3 linked regions of the Ovis aries genome follow. The protein of the gene in region 3 interacts with the protein of the main gene of each other region in a biochemical or structural test. Links are inferred from orthologs where the notes say so. Each region holds a gene or a part of one and is shown on either strand. Other genes may lie near its edges. The genes, in order: SNCAIP, SEPTIN5 and PRKN.

Region 1 (6,527 bases), on a different chromosome or scaffold from region 3:
TTGTTTAGGTGCTAAGTCTTGTCAGACTCTTTGCAACCCCACTGGACTATACCTCTCGGGCTCCTCTGTCCATGAGATTCCCCAGGCAAGAATACTGGAATGGGTTGTTGTTTCCTTCTCCAGGCGATCTTCCCAACCCAGAGATAGAACTCATGTCTCCTGCGACTCCTGCATTGCCGCTGGACTCTTTCCCCACTAAGCCACCTGGAAAGCCCAAAAGCACGGGCCCAACTGAATTATAGGTTCCAACCAGAAATCAGAAAGGACCACAAACAGGGCTTTCTTCAGTGATTCACACTCTGCAATGAGAAATAAAAATCAGAGCCTTTAATGCAGAGGTGGATGTCTTATTAAGCAAATCAACACTTAAAGAATGGGAAAAAGAAAAGAAAAAAGAACAGTTTCTATTTGATCGTTGGCAGTGTTGTAGCAGGTTTATTCAATTTTTGTAGCACAATAAAGATATATTATGGAAACTGGGTAAAAAGAAAGAGGCAGCTGTTTAATTGTAATAATTGAATGAATAATTACATGGCAGCTCTTTGGCAGATGATTTACAGTGAAATGAATTTCTGTACTAATTATTTTCAGTAGCTAACTCTTGAATATAAAAATCTGCTCAGTGATGAAGATCCAAATATGAGTAATATGAACTCCCTGGCATGAATGGAAACTGACAACTGAATAGTAGGGGAGAAGAAATGGACGTGAAGCAGAAATAAGTGTTCTAAGAGTTGCACACTCCAAGCTGTGCAGGCCTGGGAGTTCTAAAAAGGGGTAAATGATCTAGTAGCTATGGCTGCTAAGCCATTCCATAGTTAGTACTAGCCTGTAGAGGCAGCTGCTTGAATAGAAAACTGAGTGTCAGAGAGTAGTTGGTAGTAAGAAGCCACTGAAGGAGTGGGCAGAGCAACTTATTAACTTAATAAAAAGTCAGCATTATTTTGAGAAAGCCAGCTTACTTGCCATCCAATCTAAAATCTAGCAGCTCTGTTTCAACTCCAGTTACTTCACTACTTCTGCACTTTGGTGTATCAGTTTGTGGTTTAGGATTTGGCAAGACTGTGCACAGGAGAAGCAAGCCAACAAATGGTCCAAGTGAAAGCAAACTCATTGCCTGTGTGTATAAGCATAGGTTTAAGGCACAGTGTAAAAATAATCACAGGGAAACAATGGTAAATATGCAATCAAATACATGTTAGAATGAACCATAACAAAAGAAGTTTAAAAAAAATGGGAAAATTTCTGAAACAATATCTCAAGACTGCTTTTTTAGACTATAGCATGCTCTTCCTTCGCTACACAAAACCGATATTTTCTCTCCTCAGCAATGTTTTCTGTCCATGTAACAGGATCATAGCCATTCTTTGTTGAACCGTTTACACTGAGGTAACACTGGTCTACTTACTGTTAGATGTTTAAGGCAGTTGGAAGGAGATAGCCATGTATAACTTCAAAAAATTACTCCTTCAATGTTAAAATTTGATTTTTCAAAAGCAGGCTGTCAAAATATTTAAGAGGATGGCAATAAAAGTGTGTTGTGTATAGAACATATCAAGGGTGACACCAACTCCATCCATATCTACTGGATGGAAGCAAGATGTGCTTTTCTGAGAGTTTATAGTAGGCAAAAAAAAAAAAAAAGGCATTTTTATTTTAACCAGATGTGAAAGAATTAAACCCAATATTTTCAAGTATTTTTTAGTGCCATATGATGTCATCTGATTTTACATTTTCTGAGGGATAGTGGGTATTTTCAAATTGTGAAGCCACTTTCCGTGTATGTACTTAAAGTCTTATATATGATGAATTACAGTAAACAAATTACCACACCGGCAGAACATACTTTCGGCTGTTTATGTAAGACAGCAGAGAGAGAAATTTAGTTTCTCAATTGGAAATGGAATCAAAAGCATGTGAAATGTCTTCTGCTGGCCTTCAAGGCAGTCCTTATTTCAGAGACTATGTACTCCTCATCCAAAGAGGTCCAGGGCAGGGAGGGCTGGGTGTGTCCTCGGATAGTACAGGGGCCTCTTCCCTGCAGCGCCAACACAGCAGCCCCCGGACCTCGCAGGGACTACACTAGTCATCCAGGCAACCACAGTTTTTAAACAACCATGCCCTTCCTTTTTTACTGGTAATATGTTTTCAGTGACAGCCTTACACATGCTATACATCCCACTGCCACTAACCCAGATGGGGTCAAATTTCCCAGGATCGCTGCGCCACTCTTGTCCTCCGGAGTTGGCAAGGGAACCAGGCGGCCCCTAAGCAGACAGACGAGAGAACTTGCTTCCTCACACTTTGCTCTGGAGCAGCATCAGACAAGCGGCCACACCCAGGAGCAGGACAGTGGCCCTCAAAGGCTTTGCTGAGTGAGCTTCTCTGAGCCATTTCTGCCGGGGTGGGGAAAGAGCCTTCTTAAAAACCATTTAAAGCTTTCCAAAGGGCAAGAGCGAGACGATCGTGAGCCAAGGTTAGCATCAATGGTTCCACTCCTCCAGACTTCACTTCGGAAATAAGGAAGGAAAGAGTCAGTCACCAGTGCTGACTGACGGATGCCTCGTCCAGCAGCTCCCCGCCCCCTCCCAATCAAGACAGAGCTGCTTAAAGTTCATATTACTAAAGGGCCGTCGGTGTATTAAACGTTGCTGAATTAGAAACACCATCAGTTCAGACCAAAGTCTCCTCCATCCACCACCCATACTCGAGCACGGAACCTTCCGGGCAAAGACCCCTCAGCCTGCCTTCCTTGGCGAAGTCCTCGAGGGTGGGCGAGACCGGGTTGGGGGCGGGCGGGGAGGATTGGGGTTTAGGACTGTGCCAACGCAAAGATCCTCTGCCAAGGGGCTCCTGAAGCAGGGCCGTTTCCCAGGACCGTGCCCATGTTCCGTCGCCCCCTGCCCGAGTGTCTCTGCCCGGCCGAGGCTGGAACCCTGGAATGGGTTGGGGACCAATGAGATGGCAGCGGTTGACGCAGGGATCACGGTGAGGGGCGATTTCATCTCCCGGGGGTGGGGGGAGAGGCCGCCCAGCGCGGGTGGGGGGCGGAGGCGAAAGGGGGTAAAAAGTGCGAGGGGAGGAGATCGGAGACAGCCAGTTGAGCAGCAGAGACACAGAGGTGCGAGGGCCAAAGGTACAGGAGAAAAGAGCAGGTTCGCGGGCGCGGAGGCTGCGCGGCCGGGGCTGGGGGCCGCCGCGCGGCGGGCGCCGCGGGGCGGGCGGGGGAGGGTCGCCGTCAGTCAGGCCGCGCGGGGCTCGCGGGCCGGGGGGCGGGCGCCGGGCGCGCGGCGGCGGCGGGAGGGCGCGGCGGCCGCGGCCGTGCAGACCGCGCCCCCGCCCGGCGGTGCGCCGCGCTCGGCGCCCCGCGTCCCTCCGCGCCAGGTCCGCGCCCGCCGCCCCGGGGCTGCCCTCCTCCCGCTGCCGCGCGCCCGCTGGGGGGCCCGGGGGGGAGCGGCGCCGGAGGCCCGGCCGCATTGTGACGTAGCGGGGCCGCGGCAGCGCGGCCGCCGCCCGCCGGCTCCCGCGGTTCCTGCTCCCGCCGCCGCCGTCCATCTGTCCGTCGGTCCGTCCGTCCGTCCGCATTTTTGAGCAGCCGCAGCGCCGGGCGCCCGGGGTGAGTCCAGGTCCCGGGGTGGGCGCCGCGGGGAGACGGGGGTGGGGCGCGACGGCGCGAGCGACTGAGCCTTTCCAAGTTTGCACCGGGCGACCCGGGCGGGGGTGCCCCCCGCCCCGCCGTGAGCCCCGGGGGGGCCCCTTTGTGCGGCGAATCCCGGCGGCTCGAGTGGCGGCGGTGCCTCTGCAGAAAGGGTTTGGGGGGAGGTCTCTATAGTAACGTTGGCGGCGCCTGCCAAGCGGCTTCTCTTCTTCTTGAGGGAGGGGGGAGGAGCCCCCACCTCAGGTTCCAAAGGATTGCTCTTTTCCTTTGCCGGTTTCGTGTGGTTATTCTTCTTCCTGCCACCTGGGATGGTGTGGGAGGCAGGGATGGGCAGTGCCGAGGCTCCTAAGAACTGAGGTAACCAGGGACGAAGTAATAGTCACAGAAACAGTACCGACAATAATAGTAATCGCGAAAGAGGGACGCCTGGGGTTGCCGCGCGGCCCAAGGGGAGCCCCTCGCTCTTGGGCACCGCCGCCCGCTGGCTGCCCGGTTCTCTAGGGCACCACCCTCGGGCGCTGTCCTGTGTTCCCCGCTCGTCCGGGTCAATTGTAGCCAGGAGTGTTTCTCTCCTGGCCTCCTTTCGCGGTGATGTCTCTCATCTGCAGGTGGTAAGCGAGGTGACTGGTAATTTGGCTATTGTCAAATGCCACGTTTTGTTTATTTCATTTTTACGAAAGGAAAAGAGGGAAAATTATGAGCCATTACTGGCAGCCATACAGTTTCCACAGGAAATACTAGCATTCTTTGAGGAACACGCTACTGCTTGCGGGGAAGAAAGTCTTTAGGAAACAAAAAGGCAACAGCATTGTTGCTCATTTTCAATGGACCGCTAGGAGAGGGGAAACGTGGTGTTTTTTCCTGTGGGAACAGGCTTGCCTTGGGAAAGTTAATTAAGGAAGCTTACTGTCGGTGGCCCGTTTTTCACTTGCTGGTGGCTGGACCCCTCTCCTCCTGGCTATTACCGACAACTGTCCATCAAAGAGCCGCCAGGAAGGGAGAACCACTGCAGGACAGTCTCACCACACACCATGTGCTGTGGAGCCCAGCCAGGGTGCAGTGTGCAGAATGAAATAAGGGCTGTCTGGGGAGGTTTATGAGGATTGCATGTGTGCAGAGGGTGTCAGTTCTCCAAGGTGTCACTCTAAACACATCATTTTCAAGCATGGCTTTCCCTGCTGAATCTGCAGAAAGGCAAAAACCTATTTCTCTTATTATGGAGCAGACGTCCCAGTTGGGAATGGGTTGAAATCTGTATTTCCTTTGTATATATTGAAATTTTCAAAGACAGAGAGGATAAGGTTTAGGAAAGCAGTATGCTAATGGGTTCACATCTAGAGAATGTCTGTTGGGTACTTCTGATGCATCTCAATGTTAAATTACGTTCAGCCTGGCTGGAGTCTAGGGAGACACCCTTCAGGTGTCCTTTATTTGAAAAAGTGTGACATTTTGTTCCCATTGCAGAAGTCTCTCTGGAAGGCAGTATTAACTGAAGATTACCCAAATATGTAGGAGTTTCAAGTCTAGACACAGAAAGAAGATGGTGCTTCTCTTAAGGATCTTTGGACATCTCAGTTAGAAATAAAATATAAAAAAATAAATAATACAGCTTTGAACATAAACTTCATTTTGTCTAGAGCAAGCATTTCATGAGGAAAGGTTACAATATGGTAGATTTGAAATGATGCTGCAGTTATTGATTTGACATTTGCTACTGTGTATGGATGTCCAAAAGGAAGGGGCTAAGGCAAATGAGTTTCTCTGCCTACTGTGTCATAGCTCTGCCACTTTCCACTAGTTGGTCTTGTGCAGGTGTACAGTGGAAATTCAGGACAGAGGCCAAGAAACTTTCTGTGCACTGTTGTCTTGGAGGGAATTGCAGCAGTATTTTACTGCTCTTAAGAGGAGGAAAACCCACATAAACATCTAATACAAACAAATGATCTTTGATATTATCAGAGAAAGCCTAGAGTCATTTTTCTTGCCAGATTGAAGGCATTTCTTGTCAAAAGAGGAAATCTCCCAAGGAGCAGGTGCATCATTATAAGAAACACCAGGGAATTTTTTCTTTTAAATGCAAAATCTAATTGAATAGCAACAAGAGAATCAAGTGACACTCTTAGAATAGAAAGTTTGTTTTTTGGCAGTCTGTCAGATTAGGGTTGCAAACCACATAGGAGGAATAGGTGTCTTGGGAGAAAAATAATTTCCTGGTGAAAATCAAACATTTGCTTCTGTGGAACTTGTACCTTTACATGCTTGTTTCCTTGTGCCCCTTAGATTGGTGTGCAGATTCTACTTGCAAGAATTTATTTTCTGGAAATGATTCAATAAAGTGGTTACTAATATGTATACTATGCATGATTTCATGCCTGTAGATAACAGGATTTTATATTTTATAATTTATATATCTTATCACTCCTTTTTAAGCTTTTAAAATTGATCAAAATATGTGTTGAAATGATTAATTTTTTGATTTTTAATTGATATGATTGACAGCTGGGTCCTGGAAAAGTGCTGATTGACTAATATTTTATGATTAATTGCACAAGACAGTGAGCAGTAATTGAAAAGGAATTCCCATGAGAAAGTAACCAAGTCAGCTTAGATGTTTTTCCGGTTATCCATTGCTGTGTAACAAATCATCCCCAAATCATTGCTTAAAATGACTGTATTGCTTGCAATTGTGTGGTTGGTAGTTCAAGCCGGGTTCAGTGAGGTGGTTCTGCTGCTGCTCTTGGCTGAGTTCCTCTGATATCTTCAGTCACCTGGTAGTTTGGATGATTAGGATGGTCTCATTTATGTCTGATAGTTATTAGGTCAGGTTAACAGGTAACTGTGGCATGCCTCCCATTCTCCAGCTGACTAG
Region 2 (6,527 bases), on a different chromosome or scaffold from region 3:
GATCCCGACCCTGGCTTGCGCCGCGTGGGCCCCTGCCCGATGGGGGATGGGCCGGGTGCCGCCTCCCACTGGTCCGGCGCCGGCCTCTCCTTGTTGAACTGGCCCGAGACCGCGGGCGGGGGGCTCCTGAGGGAGCCCCTGGTCATGGAAGGCCAGGGGCGGGGGGAGGGGTCTGCGACCAGCAGCCGGGCCGACCCCGAGTGGCCCCACACGGACAGGCCGGGCGGGCGGCTGCTGGGGCCACCCCACCCAGCGTCTCTGCATCCTCTTCCCGCTGAGAGATGTGAGTGGGCTGACCTGGGGCCTCTTCCCCAGACTGGGAGCCTCCAGGGCCTGGTCTGAGTCATCCCTCTGCCCAGCATGGGTCTTCAGACCTAGAGGGTACAAACTGGTTCACCCAAGGGCTGGCCTGGACCCCCACCCTCCAGGTGCACAGGGCTGGACAGAAGGCTGCCTGGACACCCACTGCGAACCTGGCTGAGGTCAGGTTTAAACATCGAGGAGGCCCCGTGGAGGGGGGCGTATCGGGGGAGCTTGGGGCCCTGGGGCAGCCCCACTGGCTGAGGTCTCTCTGCTCGAGCGCAGCTGTGTTTAGGGCAGAACAGGAAGGCTGACTTGGGCACCAGGGTGGCCTTGGCGCCCTTGTCAGGGATGGGGGTTCACACCCTGGGTGGAGCCCCACAGTATTGGCCCAGGTGTGGCAGGTGGGCGGAGCGGCCTGGCAGGTGGAGCTGGCGCTGGGAGTTGCCGACTGCGCCCTGGGCCGGGGGAGGCTCGTGGGGAGGGGCCTCTCATCTTCACCCTGCCAGCAAGGGGCTCCCTGGGGAGCCAGGGCCAGGAGCTGCCTGCCCATGCTGCGGGTCAAACAATGCAGGAGGCACAGGGCCAGCCCGCCAGCCTGCCATTGTTCAGGGAGAGACGGGGCAAGCCCCGGGAGACCGGCCCCCTACTCCGGGGCCTGCGGGCACTTGGGGTTCCCTGCTGGGACTCCAGCCCCTCTGGGCTGGTGTCTGCCCCACCTGGAGCTCAGCTAGGACCGGCCTCACCCATGCCTGCCCCCGGGGCCTGAGGCAGAGGGCGTGATGTGGGTGGCATGTAGGGTCCCCCCGGGATTGGGGCCAGGAGCCAGGCTTTTGGGGCAGGGTCCCCGTGGGTCTTCACTGTTCCATTGTTGGCGTTCTGAGCCTCAGCCTGTCGCCCCTCCAGGAAAGAGGGGGACTCGATGGACCCCTCCGTGCCCACCATCTGAGGCACGGGGTGGGGGCTCTGGTGGTCCCCTGTACCCTCCCCCACCGCAACCCCTTTCAGCGAAAGTGGTGGTTCCCCTGGCTCTGGCTCCCGTCCCCAGAGCCGATGGGGAGATTCTAAGAATGAAAACGCCTTGAGAGTGTCAGGCACCAGGCGGTGGGGAGGAGGTGGGCGCGGCACTGAGTCCTCGGGAGTGTCTGTTGTGCCTCGAGGACCAGACAAAGCGGGCGGCAGGGCCCTCTCCTTGGGGACCCCCAGGGAATCCCCAGCCCTGCGCGGGTGAGGTGGGGTGCGGGCCAGGCTGGCAGGGGCTGGGCTTGTCCCGTCCCGGGCCTCCCGAGGCTGTTCCTTACCAGTGGGCAAACCAAGGCCGTCTGGGCAGTGCACTCTTCAGGCCCCAGGGTGTGGAGAGATGAGGCCAGGCCTGGCTCTGTCCTCGGAGGTGCCCCGGGCCCGAGAGGTTAGCTTGTCCACCCGGCAGGAACTGGGCCTAGGAGCCGTGTCTAAGGTGGCGCCCGGGGTTGGAGGCTGGGGGATACTCATGCTGGAGACCCCCCACAGGTGCACGTGGCGGGTGATTTCTCGGAGCCAGGGCACGGGGCCGGGCTGTGGCCTGTGGCCCCCCCCGCCGCCGTCCTCTTGGATGAAAGGCGCCCCTGTTCCCAGCAGTGGACCCACCCCTCCTCCGCAGGTGCCAGCAGCCTCCAGGCCCCATGGCAGCAGCTCCAGCCTGGACTGGGGGACAGAGGCCCCTTAAGCAGGGAGCCAGGAAGGGAGGGCGGGTGAGGGTGTGGGGGCCTCCTGCCCCTACTGACAAGAGTTCAGAGGCATCCACCTCTTTGGAGGCCCAGCTCCTTCCCGTTGGTCTGGCCTGTTCAGATTCTGGTGGGGGGCCTGCGGGGTGGGGGCGACGCTGGGTTTGTCGGCTCAGGAGACCCCCGTGGTCCCTGGCATCGCGGCACAGGCAAGAGGGTGGAGCTGGCTGGAGCCCCCCAGGCTCCCTATTGCCCAATCCTGGGGGTGAGGGCAGGGTGGAAGCTCAGAGTGCCCCCCCCCCGGGGAAGGGGTCCGCTCCATCAGCCCCCCTCGGCTGGCAGCAGCTTTCTGGCCAGCAGGGCTGGCCGGCGGGTTTGGGGGGGCCACAGCTTCCGCGTTTGCAGAGGAGATGGGGGCCGGGCATCTAGGGCTGTGACTGTCCCTCCGGCCCGACGCGGGCCTGGGTGGGGAGCCGGGCTCTACCCTCGCAGGTTCCCGGCTGGTCTCAGGGGCCGCGGCGGTAAGCATTCTCCGGACACGCGCGGGGGCCAGGGCGCGCAGGGAGGGCTGCGTCTGTGGGGAGTTTCGGGGGGCCGGGCGGGAGCGCGCGGATGGGGCTCCCTCTGGCGGCGGGCGCGGCGGCGCGGACCCGCCGTGGACCGGCCCCCGCCGTGCAGTCGCGGGGCTGACGGCCCGAGCCGCGCCGCTCCGCGCGCAGCCGCCCGCCCGCCCCGCCGAGCTGGGCCCTGCCCTCCTCCGCTCCGGTGGCTCCGCCCGCGCGGCCTCATTTCCAGGCGACCGTCTCCCGGAGACCGCGCGCTCCCGTCCGGCGTAGGGACCCGCTTGTGCCCGGGGCTGGCCGTCTGGGGCCGGACCCGCGGCTCGAGGGGGGCCTCGGGGTCGCGCATCGCCTGAGCGCCGCCCCGCCCCGGGCCCCGGTGCCCGCGTCCGTGCGCCCCCCGGGGCGAGAGCACGCCTGGCGGCGGGCTGGCCTGACCCTCTGGGCCCCAGCGCGGCCGCACGGCCCCAGGCTGGCGGGGATGGACTCGCTGGCAGCGCCCCAAGACCGCCTGGTGGAGCCGCTGCTGTCGCCGCGGACCCAGGCCCAGAGGCGGCTCAAGGTGTGTGTGGATTGGGGCGCGGAAAGTGGGTCAGCGTGCGCCCACCCCGGTGCCCGGACTGGGGATATGACAGGGGCTGCAGGGCCCTGGGGTCCTGGGGTGGGCGCCGGGCCTTGGGGAGGCCAGGGGCTGCTGTCTATAAATAGCCCCAGCTCCACCGTTGCTGCAGCCAGCCACCCCCGCGGCTGGATCGGGGCCAGATGGGGCCTCCCACCCCCTACTTTCGCAGAGGGGTGAGTATTCAGGTGGGGGCTTCTCCAGCTTCGGAGGGCCTTGGGCATGTCTGAGGGGTCCGGGTCCTGGTGCCCTCTGCCCCCCACCCAAGGACACCGGCCTCACTGGGTGTGCCTGTTGCCCCCGCTCCGGGCACAGATCCATCTCTGTGAAGCCCTTGAGGGCACCACTACCCTTCACGCCCACCCGCCTCCCACCTCAGGGGGGTCCTTTGCCCACAGACCCTCACCCGCTGCTGCTACTGAGATGCCCCTTCCCCGGGGGACCCTGCCCTGCTGCCTCCCTGGCCTGAGCGGGGTAGGGGCAGGGCCCGGGGCTGCCCAGGGAACCGGGGCGTGTCCCTGACCTGCCCCGCCCCCGCCAGGACGTCGACAAGCAGTACGTGGGCTTTGCCACACTGCCCAACCAGGTGCACCGCAAGTCTGTGAAGAAGGGCTTCGACTTCACGCTCATGGTGGCCGGTGAGTGGGCCGGGCCCCAGGTCGGGCAGGGGCACGGGCAGCCATGCTGTCTGGAGCCTGGGACCTGACCTCCCCACTGCATCTGTGGGCAGGGGAGTCGGGCCTGGGGAAGTCCACGTTGGTCCACAGCCTCTTCCTGACGGACCTCTACAAGGAGCGGAAGCTGCTGAGTGCCGAGGGTGAGTGGGCCCCACAGCCCTGCTGGATGACTCTCTCAAGGGCTCCTTCCAGGTCCAGCCCCGATCCTCTGTCCCCGAAGCGTGGGTCCAGACCACCGCCAGGCCACGTAACCTGGGAGCGTCTGGGGTGCCCGGGGGTAGGAGTCGGGGCCGCAGAGGCCACTCTAAACCACCCCCCGGCCCCCGCCCCAGAGCGCATCAGCCAGACGGTTGAGATCCTGAAGCACACGGTGGACATCGAAGAAAAGGGGGTGAAGCTGAAGCTCACCATCGTGGACACGCCGGGCTTCGGGGACGCCGTCAACAACTCTGAGTGGTGAGGAAGGCTTGCCCGGGCGGCCCCAGCCCCCGGCCCCCAGCCCGGCCGGCCTCACGCGTGCCCACCCCCAGCTGGAAGCCCGTCACTGACTACGTGGACCAGCAGTTCGAGCAGTACTTCCGGGACGAGAGCGGCCTCAACCGCAAGAACATCCAGGACAACCGTGTGCACTGCTGCCTCTACTTCATCTCCCCCTTCGGGCACGGGTAGGTGGCCGCCCCGGCCAGGCGGCCCGCCCGTGCCTCGGGCACCCCCCCCCCGCCACCCCCGCCCCGCGAGCCCCTCACCCCGGCCCCCCCACAGGCTGCGGCCGGTGGACGTGGGCTTCATGAAGGCGCTGCACGAGAAGGTGAACATCGTGCCCCTCATCGCCAAGGCCGACTGTCTTGTCCCAGGGGAGATCCGGAAGCTGAAAGAGCGGGTGAGCCTGCGGGGGTGGGGGTCTCCGCAGGGCTCAAGGGGGGGACTGAGGCCGCCGGCCCCTCCCCTGACAGCCCTGGCTGGCTGCAGATCCGGGAAGAGATCGACAAGTTTGGGATCCACGTGTACCAGTTTCCTGAGTGCGACTCGGACGAGGATGAGGACTTCAAGCAGCAGGACAGGGAGCTGAAGGTGAGCCTGCATCGCGTGGGGGGACCCCAGAGGCCACTGTACAGCGGGTCTAGAAGAGTGCTGGGGCCCTGGTCTGACCTGGGGCGGGGGTCGGGGCGGGGGGGACGTGAGACTTTCATCCAGGCTGTAGAGTCTTAGCTGGGGATGGCTCAGGTCCCTGCTGGCCAGTGTGGCTTGGGCCCTGTGTGGTTCTTGGGTCATGGAGTGCTTGCCAGGATACAAGGGCATAGTCACTGGCCAGGCCCCACCCTGGCCCTGCACTCAGCCCCCTTCTCATACCCCGGGAATGTGCATGCCCCAACTCACAGAGTCCTGAGCTCTGGGGGCAGGAGGTGGCTTTGAGTGGTGATGGAGAAGCCAAGCTGGGGACAAGTGGCCACTAGGCCAGGACCAGGGCAGGCCCTTCACCCCAAAGTCAGCAGGGGTATCACTAACAGCACAGGCTCCGCTCTGGGGAAGGAGGGGGAGGGGTACTAGGCAGGGAGGCTACATCTGATTGGGCACAGCCTGGCAAAAGCCCTCCATGTAAGCGGCACCAGCTCTGGCTTCAGCTGGCAACAGAGAGGCCCAAGGTGGGGATAACAGGTTCTTTTTGGGGAGAGTCTATTGTTGGGGACATGGAGGCGTACCCATGCCCCTCTTGGACCGCGGACCTCACACCCATGCTAACTGGGCTGAGCCCTTGCATCTGCCCCCCCGGCCAGGAGAGCGCACCCTTCGCTGTTATCGGCAGCAACACGGTGGTGGAGGCCAAGGGACAGCGGGTCCGGGGGCGTCTGTACCCCTGGGGGATCGTGGAGGGTGAGTCCAGGCCTGGGGCACAGCCTTTGGGGGGGAAGGCTCCCCTGGACCGGTGGCCCACTCACCGGCCGCCCCCGCCCGCAGTGGAGAACCAGGCGCACTGCGACTTCGTGAAGCTTCGCAACATGCTAATCCGCACGCACATGCACGACCTCAAGGACGTGACCTGCGACGTGCACTACGAGAACTACCGCGCGCAGTGCATCCAGCAGATGACCAGGTGCGCGCCCCCGCCCCGCCCCGCCCCGCCCCGCCCCCGCCCCGCCCAGAGGTGCGAGAGCCGCAGGGCCGGCTGGTGTCGAGGGTCAGCCCGGCCTCCAGCAGCCTCGTCCCCGGTGTCCACCCTGCAGCAAGCTGACGCAGGACAGCCGCATGGAGAGCCCCATACCCATCCTGCCACTGCCCACGCCTGACGCCGAGACTGAAAAGCTCATCAGAATGAAAGATGAGGAGGTGGGCGGAGAGCAGGGGCGGAGCCAGTGTGGGTGGGCGGGGAGAGGGGAGGAGCGAGGCTGGGTGGGTGGGGCCAGGGTGGTGGGCGGGGAGAGGGGAGGAGCGAGGCTGGGTGGGTGGGGCCAGGCTGGTGGGCGGGGAGTGGAGGCGGAGCCAGGCTGGGCGCAGGGCAGGCCCCGCCCACCGCTCGCTCACACCGCCCCCGCCGCTCCTGCCCCGCCCCCAGCTAAGGCGGATGCAAGAAATGCTGCAGAAGATGAAGCTGCAGATGCAGGACCAGTGACGCCGCAGCGCACGCGCCATACCTGTGCTGCCGGCTTCCGGGCTGGCCTGTCGCACCCCT
Region 3 (6,527 bases):
AAATGGCAATCAACTCTAGTATCCTTGCCTGGGAAATCCCAACTGACTATATAATGCAAAAAGGCCTATACTGCTGAGGACAGAAATGTTGAAATGTAAATATTGGATATGAAGAGGAAAGGTTTTATTTCTTGTACCACTGAAGTTAGGATATATAAAGTGTCTTTCTTTTGTCAAGATCTGTCCATTGTTGTTAGTGGTAGCTTTCCTTGGAGTTTTAAGGACTGGGCTTTGTTTTGCTGATCACAAATCCCCAGAACTGGGCTTTGCAAGATTTAGAAGTTTAGAAACAAACAAAATTATCATTGATTGAATGAATGGATGGACAATATTTTCATCTAACAATTATGATTCCCACTAAATGAAGTGAAAGAATGACACATCCTCTTTAGAAGATCCCCGAGGAGACATTATTATCACACTAAGGGATTTTCCGTAAGTATATGGAGACAAGAAGATAATGTACCTCAAATAAGTTATTTATAATTAAGGCTGCTTCATAATCAGTTTTTTGTGTTGTTGTTTGAGTCTTGTTACATTTCACAATACTGAAATATTTGATTTTCCAGAATTATGACTTTAGGTGAAAGGCTAGGTTTCTAAAAAATAAACACGATTATACATACACTTTTTCTAAAAAAAAGAATCTGGTCAATTTTGTACATGTCTTTGAAGAAACATAACATTTTGGGAAAAATCATTAAAATTATATATACTGAGTAGAAGGAAAAAAAAGAAATAATTAGCTTGAATGTTATGGCATTCTGTGTTGCTGATAAACTAATCATCTTGGCTCCCATGATCACCTGTTTACAAGATATACTCACAAAAGGACCGCAGTTACAACAAGCAGAAAGTTTTAGTCTATTTCTGGGAATAACTATTGCAATGCAACTAACACACATTCCAATAATTAGAATTTCATTTTGTGTAGCAATGTGGAAATCTGGCCTGTGGGTCTTAAGGTGATCTATTTCATTTGCATATTTTAAGGATGTAGTTTAGGAATAATGTATTAAGTTTGCAACATTTATGTGAAACAAATAATGTGACACTGGAAAGCAATGCTATTCATTCAACATATGAGTTGCTACACAATAAATCAGACCCTCCCAGAGTGTAAATTACACAAATTTGAAAGCTGCATTTATTATTGAATATATCATTCTCAGCCAGGTGCTTAGTCAGTAGGAAAACCTGGTGTAGCACACATTTAAAGCTTTTTTTTTAAAACTGTTATGCATATACTGAAACCTGCCATGTGCAGTTTAAACTTTTCCCCCCTAATACTATTGAGAATAATGGATTTTTACTACCACAAAACAATAGAAATGAAATATGAATTGTATTAATAGTCAGAAGTATTTGCATCAAATCTTGGAAATTTTAAAATTAAAAGTTTAAAAGGTCTATTTGGAAACAGACTTCTTATTAAGTTGCTTCTCAGTACTCTAACATGCCTTTTCGTGAGAATCTTATTAGAAAAAATGCTAGGATATTCTTATAATATCTAGGTTGAATTGATAAAATTTCTTACTGTTAATGAGTTTGGGTTCCCAGCTGTACATCAGAAATGTTAAATTTTGCAAGGGAGTTCATGATTTCCAAGCCTTCTCCTTCTATTAAGGCGCTTTTCTGAGTGGGGCTAGTTTAGGAATCAATAAGTAAAGGGGATCTTTCTTTGTGTATATAGCTGAAGCATAGATTCAGGTGGTCTAGAAACCCTGAGTTATTAGGAAGGTGCTTAGAAACGAGCACAGTACATCAGTTGCCCGAGACTCCTTCTTAACATCCCAGCCTGGACCTCCACACTCTGTTGGGCACCGTCTGCCACTGGCCGAATAAATTGCCATTTTGGGCGAAGACCACCCAGGACATGGGCTCAGAATCCATCCTAGGGCCAGCCAATCTCTGCAACCTGGGGTCCCCTGACTGGGAGCGAGTGCATTCGATTCGGGAAGATCACTTACGACTGAGTTTTTCATCATGGCTTTGACTGTGAAGCCCTCAGAAACCAGGGAGTGAGGCTGGTGCACCGGGAGCGGCTGCTGTGCCAGGAGCTTGGTCTTCGTCGGCAGCTTGGCTGGGCATTTGTTTAAGCTCAGGGTCTCTTTTTCTGCCACCATCTTCCTAGAAAATGTCTTGTTCTCATACAACGTGTAGTAAAAGAGTCAGTGAGATTTATGGATGTGAGGAGGAGGTCGGGGGGAAAAAATGGAAAAAGGCGCGTTAATGGTAGAAATTCAACCCCTTCGTAGCAGTGGTCGATCCAGATGTTTGGCAGCTCCTAGGTGCTGGGAGTTGAGGGGAAGGGAGGGGCGGGAAGAGGGCAGGGCCGAGGCCAGAGCTGCCACAAGCTTCCAAAGGTAACCCTCCCGGTTGCTAAGCGACGCGTCAACACTGAGGCCGGATGGCCCCGCCTCCCGGTGACGTATACGTTTCCTGGGCCTCAGGCCGGAAGGGCGGGCGGCGGGCGGCGACTGACCCGAGGCGGTACTTAACGAGTGAAAACTACGACTCCCAGAAGGCCGCGGGCGGCACGCCGTTCGCGCGTGCGCGTTTCGAGGGCCGGGCGCCGGGAGGAGGGGGAGGGGGAGGGGCGTCCCGGACGATTTAACCCCGGAGCGCCGCTCGTGTGAGGCGCAGGCGGGCGCCCGGGTGCGAGTGGGACCCTGCTCGCCTGGCGGGCCGCGTCCGCCTGCCCAGTGGCCATGATAGGTACGTGGGTACCTGCCAGGTACAGCGTCTCTGCGCCGCCCCTCTCGGCGGGGACCCCCCCCACCCCGGGTGCCCGCTGTCAGTGGCGGGTGGCGGTGTCCGCGCTCCCCTCAGCCCGCGCCGCCGGCTCCCCGAGAAGACGTGTGTGTCTCTGTCCCAAGCCCCGCCCGCGCCCGCCTTGCCAGGCTTCTTCCCGGAGACGCCTTCGCCAGGGGGGCCCAGCGCGGGCGTCCGTGGGGAAGCCCCTCTTCCCGCCGCCCGCTCGAGCGCGGGGGTCCGTAGGGAACCCCCTCTTCCCGCGCCAACTCGGGGCGCCTTGGGGGGCTGTCTTCCCGCTGAGGACGGGGCGGGGGGACCCACACTGTCCGGGGAGCTCTTGAAGGGAAACCTTAGCGAAGCGCTAAACTCTTGATAGACCGGTGCCTGGTGATGGTGCTTGAGGTCAAAAGAAATTCCCGCAGGTGGATTTGAACTTCTTACACTCTTGGATTTTTGTCTTCTAGATAATCTCTTTGGAGGTCTGAGATGAAAGAATAATTAATAGTGAATGATAGTAAGGATTAAAACTTCCAGCATGATGAATTTACGATTCATTATGCAACAACCTTTTTTAAAATATATATATATATAAATCTTTATATATACATGTATATATATACACACACACACAGAATGACCTAGCTGCATTTTTGTGAATAAAGCTTTGGAAGTGGCTGTTAGAATTGCTTGTAATCACTGTAGTAAAGAAGACTGGAAAAGTCCCCCTTTTCCAGGATTGTTAAGCCAAAAATTAGTTTATCTCTGAAAATTAGTGGAAATATACGATGTGATTACAAAACATTGCTCCTTGGGGAGTTTATTATGACAGATTTCCTCTAGACTGTGTGTTAATTGGTTTGGTGAGGTTTTTTTTTTTGGGGGGGGCGAGTTATTCTTGACTGGGTGCCGCTTAAAGCACTTTTGATTGCCTCAGGTGCGTGTGAATGTAGTTTATCCAAGAAGATGGAAGGTGATTTTTAAAAGTAAGTTTCTACATACTGATAAACTCTTCTTACATCAGTTATTTATTAGACTAATGTTAAAATCTGAAACGTTCTATCCAACACTAGGAGGAATATGCCAGCTAACCGACACTGCAACAATGTAAAACCTGAGGATGTTGTCCAGTTTTTCCTACTTTTCTAACATGATGTGGTTTCTGATGAATGGGTTATCTAATTAAGAAAAATATATAAGGTTTTGTGAATATTTTGACCTTTTTTAGGTGACAGTTACACGAGATTCATTTTCTAACGCAAATCTAAACTGAATCAGAAAAATATGAAAATTTCCAAAATTCATGCTGTCCATATTTTACAGGGAAAAAATAGTCTACACCTTGTCTTGAAGACAGTTGTACAGATTTTATTGTAATTGAACATAATCTGATACATGGATAATTCTAAAAGAAATAAATTTACAGTAAAGCTATTTAGGGGCTTCCCCAGTGATACTAGTGGTAAAGAACCTGACTCTGTGCAGGAGATATAAGAGACGCAGGTTCTGTCCCTGGATCGGGAAGATCCCCTGGAGGAGGGCATGGAAACCCACTCCAGTATTCATGCCTGGAGAATCCCATGGACAAAGAAGCCTGGTGGGCTACAGGCCATATGGTCGCAAAGAGTTGGATATGACTGAAGCAACCTAGCACGCTCACACGCAAAGCTATGTAAAGGCAAGAATTTAAGATCTAAAAGTCATCAGTTAATTCTGAATTATTCTCTAAGATGATTATATAAATAATGTTGTTAGAATGAACTATGTTTAGGTGGTTTAGTTTGGGATTTAGGGACACAGGAAGGAAGAGTATTATCTTTAGATCTGATGATTAGACATTTCTTAATCACTGGTAGTGCCATGGAGAATATAAGGTGGTATTTTAAAAGTGTTGTTTCTCATACTCCAGCTATTGTTTTACACGCTGCAAATAAGTATAACATAAATAATTAAATCCATGTACTCTCCTGAGAAAAATACTTCACATGTTAAAGCCATGTGGATAATATACAATAAATTATTCTGTACAGCTACTCAACTAGTTGCATTGCCTAATTCTGTCAGTGGGTATATTGTAATAAAAATCTTAATTGCCAATTTTGGGCTTGGTTATGTTGAATAATGCCAAAGGTAAGTGAAAGTGGGAGCAATTGAAGGAAGGTCTTGGAGTGATGAGTTTCCCATTTCTGATAAAACTTTGGAGCCAGGAAAGGCATTATAGTCTATATCCAGTGATATACGGAAGATTAAACATATTCACTAATATATATATGGGGATGATTTTATTTTTTGTTTACCGACATGTGTGCTACTCAGGTGGCGCCAGTGGTAAGCAACCTGCCTGCCAGTGCGGGAGACATGAGAGATGCGGGTTCCATCCCCGGGTCAGGAAGAATCCCTGGAGGAGGAAATGGGGGTCCGTGGGGGACCCCCACAGCAATTGATTTCCTCACTACCAATAAAATTATCTTCCTTTACCTTCTCAAAACTCACGATTCTTTCTTGTCACAGAGACTGTTTCAAAAGTACTACATGTCCCAGTTAGATTAATATGTTAAATGCCCTGACTCAGCTACAGAAACAACTTAAGTAGGTGAAAAATTATTATTTTTTGAGAAATATGGAGAGGACTGTAAATAAACCAGAATAAAAAGCTTAAGAAAATTCAACTAAGAAAAAAATATAAATTTTGGCATTTCTCTTAAAATTATATTTCACCCTTTTAAAATTAACAGTGTTTGTGTTTAAAACTGAGTTTTAATAGTGACATTTGTGGTATCCTATATGTATGTTGCATTGAACTAAATTTAGGTATTTCAGTAGGATCAGATGTCCTCATGTACACCCAGTAGAGGAGTGTGTGCCTGCTAAGTCACATCAGTCCTATCTGACTCTTTGCGACCCCATGGACTGTAGCCCTCCAGGCTCCTCTGTCCATGGGATTCTCCAGGCAGGAATACTGGAGTGGATTGCCCTGCTGTCCTCCAGGGGATCTTCCTGACCCAGGTCTCCTGTGGATCCTGCACTGCAGGTGGATTCTTTACCACTGAGCCGCCAGGGAAGCCCTGAAGTACATGGAAATACATATATATAATTATGTTGCCAATATTGAAATTCAAACTCAATGTCTTAAAAATGATTTTTAGTGATCTAAAAAAAATAATAATTAGAACAATCTTTTTTGTACTTTGTTTAACTTGACAGCTCTTAGAAAACTTATGAATCTGTGTGTGCAGATGGACCCTACAGTTACTCCTGTCTAGTATTTAATGGATATACATAAATTATGTAGATAGTCTCCAATAAATGAGCATACGGTAGGTTTTCAGATAGTTGCTATCATTAGGAGTGTTTGTGTCCATATGACTTTATTTGCTTATGTAAGCTCATATGTAAAGTAAAAAGATTACAAGCTCTGAGTGGATTTTCTAGTTAAAAGGTTTGTAGAGGGACTTCCCTGGTGGCCCAGTGGCTAAGACTCTGCATTCCTAGTGCAGGGGGCCTGGGTTCCATCCCTGGTCAAGGAGCTAAATCTCACATGCGGCGTGCCTCAGTGAAGACCAAGGATCCCACGTGCCCCACTGAAACCCAGAACAGCCAAATAAATAAATACATATTTTAAAAAGAAAGATTCATAGATTTTGAATTTTGCTAGGTATTTCCAAATTGTTTAAAAGAAATCACCATGTTTTACACTTCTGTCCACCATAGCAAGGCAGCAAAGAGCTATCCTACTCGTGTGAGCTGAAGAAATTACAAAAAGACATCCTCCC

What was found.
Region 1: of the proteins of PRKN (region 3) and SNCAIP, one has a biochemical effect on the other in vitro, tested with the Homo sapiens proteins (3 studies listed by BioGRID). The link is inferred for Ovis aries from reciprocal best matches to the Homo sapiens genes PRKN and SNCAIP.
Region 2: of the proteins of PRKN (region 3) and SEPTIN5, one has a biochemical effect on the other in vitro, tested with the Homo sapiens proteins (2 studies listed by BioGRID). The link is inferred for Ovis aries from reciprocal best matches to the Homo sapiens genes PRKN and SEPTIN5.

The regions. Positions count from the first base shown.
Region 1 is NC_056058.1:29,242,188-29,248,714, reverse strand, and holds the start of SNCAIP (synphilin-1), read left to right. Parts: upstream 1-2,647; 5' UTR 2,648-2,988; intron 2,989-3,094; exon of another isoform or gene 3,095-3,155; intron 3,156-3,473; exon of another isoform or gene 3,474-3,616; intron 3,617-6,527. UniProt on the Homo sapiens protein: Isoform 2 inhibits the ubiquitin ligase activity of SIAH1 and inhibits proteasomal degradation of target proteins. Isoform 2 inhibits autoubiquitination and proteasomal degradation of SIAH1, and thereby increases cellular levels of SIAH.
Region 2 is NC_056070.1:72,821,324-72,827,850, forward strand, and holds the start of SEPTIN5 (septin-5), read left to right. Parts: upstream 1-2,790; 5' UTR 2,791-3,044; coding exon 3,045-3,125; exon of another isoform or gene 3,126-3,325; coding exon of another isoform or gene 3,326-3,358; intron 3,359-3,723; coding exon 3,724-3,820; intron 3,821-3,912; coding exon 3,913-3,999; intron 4,000-4,191; coding exon 4,192-4,315; intron 4,316-4,389; coding exon 4,390-4,524; intron 4,525-4,621; coding exon 4,622-4,739; intron 4,740-4,828; coding exon 4,829-4,930; intron 4,931-5,634; coding exon 5,635-5,731; intron 5,732-5,815; coding exon 5,816-5,951; intron 5,952-6,081; coding exon 6,082-6,184; intron 6,185-6,410; coding exon 6,411-6,467; 3' UTR 6,468-6,527. UniProt on the Homo sapiens protein: Filament-forming cytoskeletal GTPase. May play a role in cytokinesis. May play a role in platelet secretion.
Region 3 is NC_056061.1:85,934,102-85,940,628, reverse strand, and holds the start of PRKN (E3 ubiquitin-protein ligase parkin), read left to right. Parts: upstream 1-2,610; 5' UTR 2,611-2,711; coding exon 2,712-2,718; intron 2,719-6,527. Other genes in the region: PACRG (parkin coregulated gene protein), read right to left, coding at 1,971-2,126. UniProt on the Homo sapiens protein: Functions within a multiprotein E3 ubiquitin ligase complex, catalyzing the covalent attachment of ubiquitin moieties onto substrate proteins. Substrates include SYT11 and VDAC1.